Linked DNA regions of Cricetulus griseus. The main gene of each other region encodes a partner of the protein of the gene in region 3 in a complex. Links are inferred from orthologs where the notes say so. Each region holds a gene or a part of one and is shown on either strand. Other genes may lie near its edges. The genes, in order: protein shisa-6, Htr2c and Dlg4.

Region 1 (4,175 bases), about 3.4 Mb from region 3:
CCAGGTGTCACCCAGAGCTGCAGTTATCTCATACCTGCATGCGAGATGAAGGAGAAAAGAACCTAGGTTCAGGGCACTTGGTGGCCCAAGAGCCACTTGACCCCTGGCCTCAGTGTAGGAACCTGTAGCAATGGGTTTGACCTTTTATCTTGCCTACGAGCATCACCACTAGGGAGAGGCAGAGGCTTGCAGAAACCCCAACTTGCTGTCTAGCAGCGCAAAGACCAGGCTAAGGTAAGGGGAGGGGGGCGGGTGGTACTTGACCAGGAGGGCTGGAAGGGCAATGTCAGAGGACATCTGACCCTACCACCGGCCGGCTCCAGAGAGCTCACTCTGGTCTTGCTTTGGGGTATTAGAAGTGGGTAGCAGGGGGAGCTCCCTTTCTGCCAGCTCAGTGCACGGTGTTGGTTCGGGCTTTGGTAATGCCGAGCTTCGAGAGAGGGGGGAAGAGGCAAAGAGGAGTCCTGCCGTCCCCCACCCGGGCGCCCAGGCGTGGAAACGTGGGCGGCGGCGAGCGGCTGGCCTCCCTCCCCGCCCTCCCCGCGCGGCGCTCCCGCGTGTGCTGCTGTGTGAGTGCGTGTGTCTCCCTCTCGCCTATCGCACACGCTCCGGCACTAGTGCAGGCGGCTCCCGGATCCGCTCGGCTCGCTGGTTCGTTCGCTCGCTCGCTCCGGCCGCTGCGCTCCCGCCTAGCCGCCGCTGCAGTCGCAGCTGGGCACGGTGAGTGACTGAGGTGTAGCCGCCGCGCTCCCCGACTGCCCTTCGGACCCCAGCCTCAGCAGGCTGCACCGCACGGGCTCTCCGTGCACCCTCGGGCCACCGTCCCAGCCAGGACGCACTCCTCGAGGGCTGCGCACTCCTTCCCCGCTCGGCTACCCGCCGCTCCCTGCACCCCGTGACCGCTGCCCCGTTTCGTCCCGCAGGACCTGCCCGGACGGGACCACGCCGCGCCGCCGCCGCCACCTCCGGAAACTGCGCTTCGGGGCCGGCCTGAACTGAGCCGCGCGGGGGCCGCCGCTGCCGCGGGCGGGGATGGGCTGTCCGCCAGGCGCGCGGAACCCGCAGGGGGAGCGCGGAGCCGGCGCGCAGCCTGAGAGCCCCGCGCAGCCTGCGCCCCGCTGCTCCGTGCGCTCCCGCCGCCACCCGCGCCTCGATGGCGCCATCGCCCCGCCGCTGACCGGCCCGCGTCGCTCGCCCAGCCAGCCCGCGCGGCCGCCCTCGGAGTCCCGCCAGCCGCTGGGGCAGCGGCCTGCAGCCCGCGTCCCGCCCGCGCCCTCCCGCCCGGCCCCGCCATGGCGCTGCGCGCCTCCTGCTACCGCCCTCTGCTGCTGTCGCTGCTGCTGTCGCTCTCGTCCCTGCACCTGCGCCCGGCGCAGCCGCCGCCGCGCGCCGCGCCGCTAACCGACCCTAGGCGCGGAGCCGTCGGGGGTCGGCGTTCCGGAGGCGCCCTAGCCCGCGGCGGCCGCGAGCTGAACAGCACCGCCCGGGCGTCCGGCGTCCCGGAGGCGGGCAGCCGGCGGGACAGTCCGCGCAGCGCGGCGGCAGCGGCGGCCAGCGCGACCGTCACTTATGAGACGTGCTGGGGCTACTACGACGTGAGCGGCCAGTACGACAAGGAGTTCGAGTGTAACAATAGCGAGAGCGGCTACCTGTACTGCTGCGGCACCTGCTACTACCGCTTCTGCTGCAAGAAGCGCCACGAGAAGCTGGACCAGCGCCAGTGTACCAACTACCAAAGCCCAGTATGGGTGCAGACGCCCAGCACCAAGGTGGTGTCGCCGGGGCCCGAGAACAAGTACGACCCGGAGAAGGACAAGACCAACTTCACCGTCTACATCACCTGCGGGGTGATCGCCTTCGTCATCGTAGCGGGCGTCTTCGCCAAGGTCTCCTATGACAAGGCCCACCGCCCGCCGCGAGAGATGAACATCCACAGGTGAGAGGCGATGCTGGGTGCCTGCCTCGGGTCCCCAGGCCTCACCCCCTCTTAACACACACCACCCCTAGTCCTCTTCATGCACACCTCTTCTATTCTTCTAAGTCACTTCCAGAGTCGCTTCCTCTAAGAGCAATAAATCTTGTGGCTCTCCCGCATTCCGTAGGAAGCTGCTAGGCATGCTCTAGCTTGAGAGGGATTTGCAAGACAAAAGTCTGAATCAATGGAGTTCGTGGTGTTCAAGGATAAGAATTTAACCAATTTTCCAATCTCCGGGCTCTCCTTTTCATGGTGTGTGGCCACTTTACTATGGGTTGTACCACGCTTAGGTCTTTGTTTGTTTGTTTGAGCTGGAGTGCCACCTTAATATAAAGAACCGAGCAGTGTGAGCACCTCACTGAAAGGAAGATCATGTGCGTGACTGTAAGCCTAGATGTTCCCAGGGATTAAGAGCGGGATGATATGGAAAGGGTAGCTGGCTCTCCTGGGAAGAAGGATCCCCATGTCGTGTTGATCAATGGCAGATGGTATATATGTCTCCCAATGGAGTGCTTATCTTTCCTGCTAAGGCTAGAGGACTTGGTCCTCCAAGGCAGGCCTCTCTGAGTTAACACTTTGGATGGTGTTCAGCCCAGTCGGGCATCTTTTACTGCACACATGATAAAGACAGTGGGGACTGTCCCCTTTCAAAATTTATAACAGGAGTTTAAAACATGACACTCCACAGTTCCACTCCAATTGCCTCCCACCCCTGTCTCTGCCTCCCAGGGAGATCACTGGAAAGTCAAAGCCACAACAGGAACCCAGTCTCTCCTTTAGGAATTGTACAGGCAGAGGATGCGAAGTCAGCTATGATGAGTCCAGTGTCCCCATGAAGATGAATGGTTGGCTTCAATGAAAGCCCAGCCCCAGGAAACACTTCCATTTCTGGCACACAGAGTGGGCACTGCCCTAGTTCCCAGGCCCAGCCCCCAGTCTACTGCTTGTGAGTTGACCCACCAAGCCTTGCCTGGCTCATACACCTTGCTTATTATCCTCATGGCTTGAAAACCTCCTCCCTTCACTGCTCTGAACATTAATCACTCCTACCTTGCTGAAAAGAGGAAGGCAGGTAGAAATTTCTAGGCATGCTGGAGGAGCTCAGTCTGCCCTCCCCCTCAATAATGTGGGTGTGAGAAGATGATATTCCCTGTCAGGTTTTATTGACTCAAATCCACTAAATACAGGCATTTCACACTCAACTACTAGACTTCGGTTGACTATAGAGGGAGCATCCCCTTTTAACCCCTCATTCCCCGAGCTAGCCACTCTTCTTTAGCTGCTCTCGGCATAGGCTTACTCAGCATCCCCATGGACTTGAGCTAGGAATATGAGCAATGGCCTGTGGTCTCCATGCCTCACTATGCAGATGATGGGCACCATGAGCAAGATAAGAACAAGATGCTACCACTTCCAAGGGGTTCATTTGATTTGACAGTGAATTCTCTCTTGGCTCAGCTTGGAACTCAAAGAAGGAATTGCTCAGGGGCAGGTGCCTTTTTGAAGCAGATGATCTGTTGTTCCTCATCTATCACCTCTGACCCAGGACTCAGGGGCTCATCTCCTCTTGCCTCATCAAACCCACCCTGGCTCTTAACCTCTTTCTAGTTGATTCTCACAAACCTTTCTTGGGGGTTCTCCCTGTCCTGCTCCCAGTGCCTTGTGCAGTTTGTTCAACATCACCTGTGTTTGATAAGGTTGTGGCCTCAGAGTCTGAGATTGAGTCCCCTTGGAAACCAACATTGTCATGTTGCTCGGGGAAGCCACTGTTCTTGATATTAATCTCTTTTTCCCCACAGACTGCCTCTGTCCAACATTGGGGTAACCATGGTGGCACTGTTGGGGCCGTTTCTGGAGTGGGAGAAGGAGAGAGTGAACAGTGGGGAAAGAACTGAATTTCAGGCCCCAGACCATTATGTAAATAGGTGATGTCTCTCCCTCAAATTCACCTCCTGATTTCATTCAGTTCACAGCACCTCTCCAGCAGCTGCAGCCTTGCCTGATCAGTGCTTTGGAAACCATCACACTGGTACTGGGTGGGTAGGGGACAATGCCTATCACTGGAAGTGTAGTGGGTGGGAAGGATGAGCTGGAGATGAGAGATGAGTGACATTCACAGTGATGAGTGACACTTAAGGACACTCAAGAGTAACCTTGAGCACATCAGGGAAAGTCTTTTTCAGCTCTGGGTAACTGGCAA
Region 2 (3,491 bases), on a different chromosome or scaffold from region 3:
TTCTTCAATGTACCTAAAACTATACAAAACAATGCCAAGTATAAAATTGGCCTCACAGGGGCTGGTGAGATGATGGCTCAGGAGGTAAACACCCCTTTCTCTTAGCCTGATGACCCATGTTCAGTTCTGGAAAATCGCTGTCTTAACATAGGCATTCTATGGCATGCAGGACACAAACACAGAGAGGGGGAAACAATTGGCCTCATAGACTCAAATACATCATAGTTGTCATTGCCCCAGCCCCCTATTGTCTCTTGACTTGGCTTTCCTTAGATTCCTTAGGAAGGAGAAAAATCTGTTAACCTAAGTTCACAGTTCTCCAGAGCTGGGCTCTGAAAGATGCTAATGTGCACCGATCTTGTAGCCAGTGTACGATGCCTTGCTAGGCACTTCAGGTGACTCTCAGAAGGTCTCAAAGATTACACAAGCATTTCAGTGACAAGTTGGAGCTTCATGTCCAGGTATTCTTTATAGCCATGCCTGTAGAAGGATAACAAACTTCTCAGAGGAGTCTCCAGCCTCAAGATCTCGCCCCTGAAGTTCTGGGCAGCAGATGAGGCAGGGACTGGAGAGGGACTACTTTACTTGCACCCTCTGATGCTCTTACTAAAAGCTTCTGGGAAGATGTACAAATTTTCTTTCAGATTTTTCTCATAAAATGACCTTCTTCCCTGGGACCATAGCAAAGACCTGAGTGTTTCTACCCAAGCCCAAATTTTTGTTTGAAAAAGTGTAGTTTAAAAGGTGTCTCCAACTTTATATACCCCTCACTACTTCCACCTCACACATACCAGAAATTCAATGTCTGAAGAAAATACTTAACATCTTCCAAACACTCCCTTTCTTATCTTCCAAGAGATTAAATACTAATCAATGTTATTTGTGTTTTTCTTTTTTGATCATTCAGTCTAATACATTGCAGCTGACAAGCAGTACTTATGTCAATTAGTATGGCCTTGAGGTATTAAGTTCCTCATAGTTCCTAATGTGCTCACCAGTTAACTACCATCTTTGAGGGAGCACTTATACTTCCTCTCCCGTTTTGCAATGCAGATATCCAGCAGCCCATAATGCCACTAGCCTATGATAGACTCTCACAGACACAATCTGAGTTTGCCAAGGCTTTAACTTCTTGATGCAGAGAGGAAAAATGAATATGAAAATTCCCTTGGCAAATTGTCCCTATGTGTTGAGGGAAGAATATCTTTATGGTCTACCATAGTGAGTTCTTACAGTTCTCAGAAGGTTTCAGCATAAGATCACAGTCTGCCCCTTGCCTTTCTGCTGATATTTCCTGCCCCGAATCCAATTTATTTTTAGGGCTGATCACTTGTCAATACCCATAGGAGTAAAAAAATTCTGTCTCTCTGTCTCTATCTGTCTCCCGCCTCTCCCTCCCCCTTCCTCCTTCGCTCCCACCATCCTCTTTCCCTTTCTTCCTCCTTCCCCACTGTAATACCTTGAAGATACATCGTCAGCCTCATTCTGTTTCTTGACCTTGAAACCATGTTGCTGATGCTCAAGCACACAAATACATACACATGTACACACACACACACACACACACACACACACACACACACACACACACACCCTTGCCAAAAAGAAAAATGAATTACTTGCTTCTGTTCACAGGTTAGTTTTTGCACAATGGTGAAATACAATCCATTCATCCCTCCCAGGCTATTGTAGATGGTGTACTACAATTGTTACTGCACTTGAGTAACAGTATACTAAAAAAAATCAATGACTGGACTTAATGATATTACTGAGGACAAATGTGAAGCTACTTCGTGGCTTAATAAATAGTTATTAAGCACTTTGCACGAGCCAGGACAGTTCTGGGCACTGCACATGGAACAAAATGGAATCAGAGCACTCCTAGACATAATCTCCAATAGTTTGTCTCAAACATGGAGATTCTACACTGCTACAGCAATTCATGGAAAGCCATCATCTTCTGTTGGAAGTTCTATGAGCTTCCTGGTATGCCGTGAATAGCTTTCAACAAACATCATGTCTAAATGCCTTTTGGTAAAATGCTAATGAATGACTGTGCTACTGTACAAACCTGCCCAATCATTACGCATGCTGTAACGACTTCTCACCTTTTTGTTTCCCTAGGTGTTTCAGTTCCTATCCCTGTGATTGGACTGAGGGACGAAAGCAAAGTGTTCGTGAACAACACCACCTGCGTGCTCAACGACCCGAACTTCGTTCTCATCGGGTCCTTCGTGGCATTCTTCATCCCGTTGACGATTATGGTGATCACCTACTTTCTAACGATTTACGTCCTACGCCGTCAAACTCTGATGCTACTTCGAGGCCACACCATAGAGGACCTGCCTAAAATCAGCCTGAACTTCCTGAAGTGCTGCTGCAAGAAGAACGCTGGTGATGAAGAGAACACTGAGAATCCCAATCCAGATCAGAAGCCGCGTCGAAAGAAGAAAGAAAAGCGTCCTCGAGGCACCATGCAAGCTATCAACAACGAGAAGAAAGCTTCCAAAGTCCTTGGCATTGTATTCTTTGTTTTTCTGATCATGTGGTGCCCGTTTTTCATCACTAATATCCTGTCTGTTCTTTGCGAGAAGTCCTGTAACCACAAGCTGATGGAGAAGCTTCTCAATGTGTTTGTTTGGATTGGCTATGTGTGTTCAGGCATCAATCCTCTGGTGTACACTCTCTTCAACAAAGTGTACCGAAGGGCTTTCTCTAAATATTTGCGCTGCGATTATAAGCCAGACAAAAAGCCTCCTATCCGACCAATTCCTAGGGTTGCTGCCACTGCTTTGTCTGGGAGGGAGCTCAATGTTAATGTTTATCGGCATACCAATGAACGTGTGGCTAAGAAAGCTAATGACCCTGAGCCTGGCATAGAGATGCAGGTGGAGAATTTAGAGCTGCCAGTCGATCCCTCCAATGTGGTCAGCGAGAGGATTAGTAGTGTGTAAGCAAGAGCAGCCTTCCTACAGGAAAGCTCTTGTAGGAAAGATTCCCCCCTTGATTTTCCCTATGGATCATAACTAATGTAAATACTGCTGTGTGACAAAACAGTGTTTTTATAAAATAGCTTTGCAAACCTGTACTTTAAAATCATGCGCTAACAGTGAGATTTGAAGTTCTATATTTACTGTTTATGATAGATGGAGACTAAGTTATTTTGATTCCTTGCTGAATAATAGTGTTTGTTTCTCTCTCCCGTCCTTCCTTATTCCATCCCCTCCTTGCTCCTTCTTTGCTTTCTTCCTCCCTATCTCTGTTTCGTTTGTGAATGTGGAAATGTTGATGTTCATCTCAGGTGGCATTTGCAGGAGACCAGAATGATGCACATGACTGTGGTGATACTTCAAACCACACCTAAATTGACAGATTCAGTGGCATCTTTTCCAGGTTAACAGTAAATATGTGCTTTAAATTCTCGCTCTGCTCATCTACACATATAAATACAGTAAGATAGGTTCTGCCCATTGTGAAAAAACATCCATCAG
Region 3 (3,648 bases):
GGCAGAGGCGGGTGGATCTCTGTGAGTTCGAGGCCAGCCTGGTCTACAGAGGGAGTTCCAGAACAGCCAGGAGAATTACTGTCTCAAAAAGAAAGAAAGAAAGAAAGAAAGAAAGAAAGAAAGAAAGAAAGAAAGGAAGAAAGCTAGTACCTGGAAAGGGAGGGCTGGGCAGTAGGAAACTCCTGGCTTAGACCTGTATTATTGTTCCCAGGGTCAATGACAGCATCCTTTTTGTGAATGAAGTGGATGTTCGGGAGGTGACCCATTCAGCTGCGGTAGAGGCCCTCAAAGAAGCAGGTTCCATCGTTCGTCTCTATGTCATGCGCCGGAAACCCCCAGCTGAGAAGGTCATGGAGATCAAGCTCATCAAAGGGCCTAAAGGTAGTGGTAACCCCATGTTAGCTCCCCTCCCCTCCTCACCATCCTGCTTCTCCCTGCCTCCAAGGCTTGCTCCCTGGGCCAATAGGCAGCCACTTCTCCCCTCCCTGCCATCCAGGACTTGGCTTCAGCATCGCAGGGGGTGTAGGGAACCAGCACATCCCTGGAGATAATAGCATCTACGTAACAAAGATCATCGAAGGAGGTGCTGCCCACAAGGATGGCAGGTTGCAGATTGGAGACAAGATCCTGGCGGTGAGGCCCTGAACTGTGTTTCTAGTAGAGACTCGGGTCTTATTGCAGGCCTGGGTGCCTCACTGCCTGACCATTTCTGGCTCTGTCTGAGCTTTGCTTCCCTTGACCCAGGTCAACAGTGTGGGGCTAGAGGACGTCATGCACGAGGACGCCGTGGCAGCCCTGAAGAACACATATGATGTTGTCTACCTAAAGGTGGCCAAGCCCAGCAATGCCTACCTGAGTGACAGCTATGCTCCCCCAGACATCACAACCTGTGAGAGCCCTCCAAATCTCAAAGCTCCTCATGATGCATCCTAATAGTTCCTAAGACATGCAGTCCCACGACAGCCCCTGTGGCCTATTTCTATGAAATGGCCATGACCTCTGATCCTTGTGGTGGTTGGAGAGGAGATGGAAAATCAACTATGGAGAAGGACTAAAAACGATTGTTGAGATCCTCTTGTCCAAGGGACACAAGGCCCACTTGGTTTTGTGGTTCTGATCAAATCCTTAAGTAACAGATAATTCTCACATTCTTTAAAAATTTAGGAAAAGAACCAGGCATGATGGTGCCTGCCTTTAATCCCAGTACTCAGGAGGCCGAGGCAGGTGGATCTCTGTGAGTTTGAGGCCAGCCTGGTATACAGAGCAAGTACCAGGACAGCCAGGACTACACACAAAAGCCCTGTTTGGATGCCCCCAAACACAACACAACACAACACAACACACACACACACACACACACACACACACACAGAGAGAAAAGAACCAGGTGTGATGGGACATACCTGCTTTTCCAGTACTTGGGAAATAGAGGCAGGAGTGGCAGGAGTTCAAGGCTATCCTGGGCTGCATAGCAAGGTAGCAAGTTTGAGGTCAGCCTGGGATACTTGAAACTGAGAGAAAGGGAGAAAGACAAAGGCTTCGTATTGCATGTTATAAGAGCAGTTCACATGGTCACAAAGATAACACAGAAGGAACAGAGAGGGCAGCTGTATGCCCAAATAGAGAGGCCTAAGTTTAGAACACCACAGTGGGTGTCCACACAAAGCAGTGGGACATTAAGAGGCTAACATCACAGAATAAGGTTTGTTTCAGAAAACCATAGTTGGCTCAATATTAGGAACCTTTTTATTCAATATATTAAAACTGCCAGGTGGTGGTGGTGCACGCCTTTAATCCCAGCACTTGGGAGGCCGAGGCAGGCGGGCCTCAGTGAGTTTAAGGCCAGCCTGGTCTATATAGAGTGAGTTCCAGGATGGTCAAGGCTACACAGGGAAACCCTGTCTCAAAAAATAAAAACAACAAGTAGGAAAGATGGGGATGGTGGCCCACACCTATAATCCCAGCATTCTGGGGCCAGGAGCAGGAGGATTGGAAATTCTGGGGCATCCTGGGCTACATAGTGAGATGAGACCCTATGGAAGGAAAGAAAGTTAGAAAATCAAGGATAGATATGAAAATCCATTGATGATACTAAACATCTGTCCTCAAACCAACCTTTAGTAAACCCAGGAGTAGAGTTTGTGTGACCTGGGGAGTAGTTACTAGCAACCAGCAGCAGATGCTTCATATTAGTAAATCCCAGCGATGTGTCCACCCCTCTAGGAGTTAGACAAGGCTACCTCTTAACTGCTGTTCCTCTTCATCGCTTTCAGCAGTTTCTCCATGTTGTGCCGCTATTACTTATCAACGGGAAACTCAGTTCTGGAATTTCCAGTAATTAAGAAAGTCACTGGCTGGCCTCGGGAGGCAGAGGCAGAGGCAGGTGGATCTCTGTGAGTTCAATACCAGCCTGGTCTACAAGAGCTAGTTCCAGGACAGCCTCCAAAGCCACAGAGAAACCCTGTCTCGAAAAGAAAAAGAAAATCACTTATTTTATCTTGCAAAGTAAGAAAGAAAGAAAGAAAGAACTCCTCAGAGGGCTCCATTTCCTTCCTTGCTCTTTTAAAGACAGGGTCTTTATATGTAGCCCCAGCTATTCCTTATGGAGGCAAGGCTGGCTTTGAACTTGTGGTAATTCACTGGTCTCATCCTCCTCAATATTGGGGTTACAGATGTGTGTCACCATACTTGGCTTTAGAATTTTTATTTATAGGTATCTTTTTGTTGTTGTTTTTTCAAGACAAGTTACTCTGTAGACCAGGCTGGCTTTGAGCTCAGAGATCTCCTTGCCTCTGCCTCCTAAGTACTGGGATTAAAGATGGGTACCATCATGCCTGGCCCCATTATACTAAATCTTTTTTAAAAAATTAGAGGGGGAAATCAGTTTATTTATTCATTTGTGTGTATTTGTGTGAGTATGGGTATGCTGTGGTGTGTGTATGTGTAGGTCAAAGGACAACGTGTGGAAGCCTGTTCTCTCCTTCTACCATGTAGGTTCTGGGGTTTAAACACAGGGTATCAAACATAGCAAGTATCTTTACCTGTCCAGCTATCTCACCCCCCCCCCCCCCCCCCGTCTTTTTTGAGGCAAGGTGGTGCTGGGATTTCAGGCCTATGCTGCCATGTCCAGCCAAGCTTCTTTCCTTCCTTTCTCTTCCTCCTCTTTCTTCTTTTTTTTTTTCTTTGTGGTACTGGGGCTTTAACCTTAGCCCTTGAACATGCTAAGCAGCTGTCTGTAACAGCTATATCCTGCCCCAGCTATGCTACAAATTCTTGTTATTGTACATGTCGGGTCTTGAACTAGTACTGTTGCCTCAGCTAAGGAGTGCTGGGATTACAGGAGTGAAGCATTACACTTGGTGTGGTCACATTATTATTTTTCTTTTTCTTTTCTGTTTTGAAACAATCACTGTGTAGCCCTGGCTGGCTTGGACCTCACAGAGATCCACTTGCCTCTGCCTAAGGGCTGGAATTAAAGGTGTGAGCCACCATGTCTGGCTATATTCTTAACCACCCCCCCCAAATTTTTTCCTTTCCTTTTTTTTAAAAATTTTTTTTGTTTGTTTGTTTTTTGTTTTTTGAGACAAGGTTTCTTAGTGTAATAGCCCTGGCTGTCCTGGAACTCGCTCTGTAGATCAGGCTGGCCTC

The links.
Region 1: Dlg4 (region 3) and protein shisa-6 share a complex: the UniProt entries of both Homo sapiens proteins name them as parts of the postsynaptic hippocampal AMPA-type glutamate receptor (AMPAR) complex. The link is inferred for Cricetulus griseus from reciprocal best matches to the Homo sapiens genes DLG4 and SHISA6.
Region 2: the proteins of Dlg4 (region 3) and Htr2c are in contact, whole or in part, in an NMR structure (PDB 2MHO), measured with the Rattus norvegicus proteins. The link is inferred for Cricetulus griseus from reciprocal best matches to the Homo sapiens genes DLG4 and HTR2C. Residues at the interface, in NP_062567.1 of Rattus norvegicus: Gly74, Leu75, Phe77, Ser78, Ile79, Ala80, Asn85, Pro86, His87, Ile88, Thr97, Lys98, His130, Val134, Leu137, Lys138; in NP_036897.2 of Rattus norvegicus: Val452, Val453, Ser454, Glu455, Arg456, Ile457, Ser459, Val460.

Annotation. Positions count from the first base shown.
Region 1 is NC_048600.1:80,430,223-80,434,397, reverse strand, and holds the start of protein shisa-6, read left to right. Parts: upstream 1-1,292; coding exon 1,293-1,936; intron 1,937-4,175. UniProt on the Homo sapiens protein: Involved in maintenance of high-frequency synaptic transmission at hippocampal CA3-CA1 synapses.
Region 2 is NC_048604.1:34,136,708-34,140,198, reverse strand, and holds the end of Htr2c (5-hydroxytryptamine receptor 2C), read left to right. Parts: intron 1-2,124; coding exon 2,125-2,954; downstream 2,955-3,491. UniProt on the Homo sapiens protein: G-protein coupled receptor for 5-hydroxytryptamine (serotonin).
Region 3 is NC_048600.1:83,878,939-83,882,586, forward strand, and holds part of Dlg4 (disks large homolog 4), read left to right. Parts: intron 1-211; coding exon 212-381; intron 382-496; coding exon 497-633; intron 634-744; coding exon 745-889; intron 890-3,648. UniProt on the Homo sapiens protein: Postsynaptic scaffolding protein that plays a critical role in synaptogenesis and synaptic plasticity by providing a platform for the postsynaptic clustering of crucial synaptic proteins.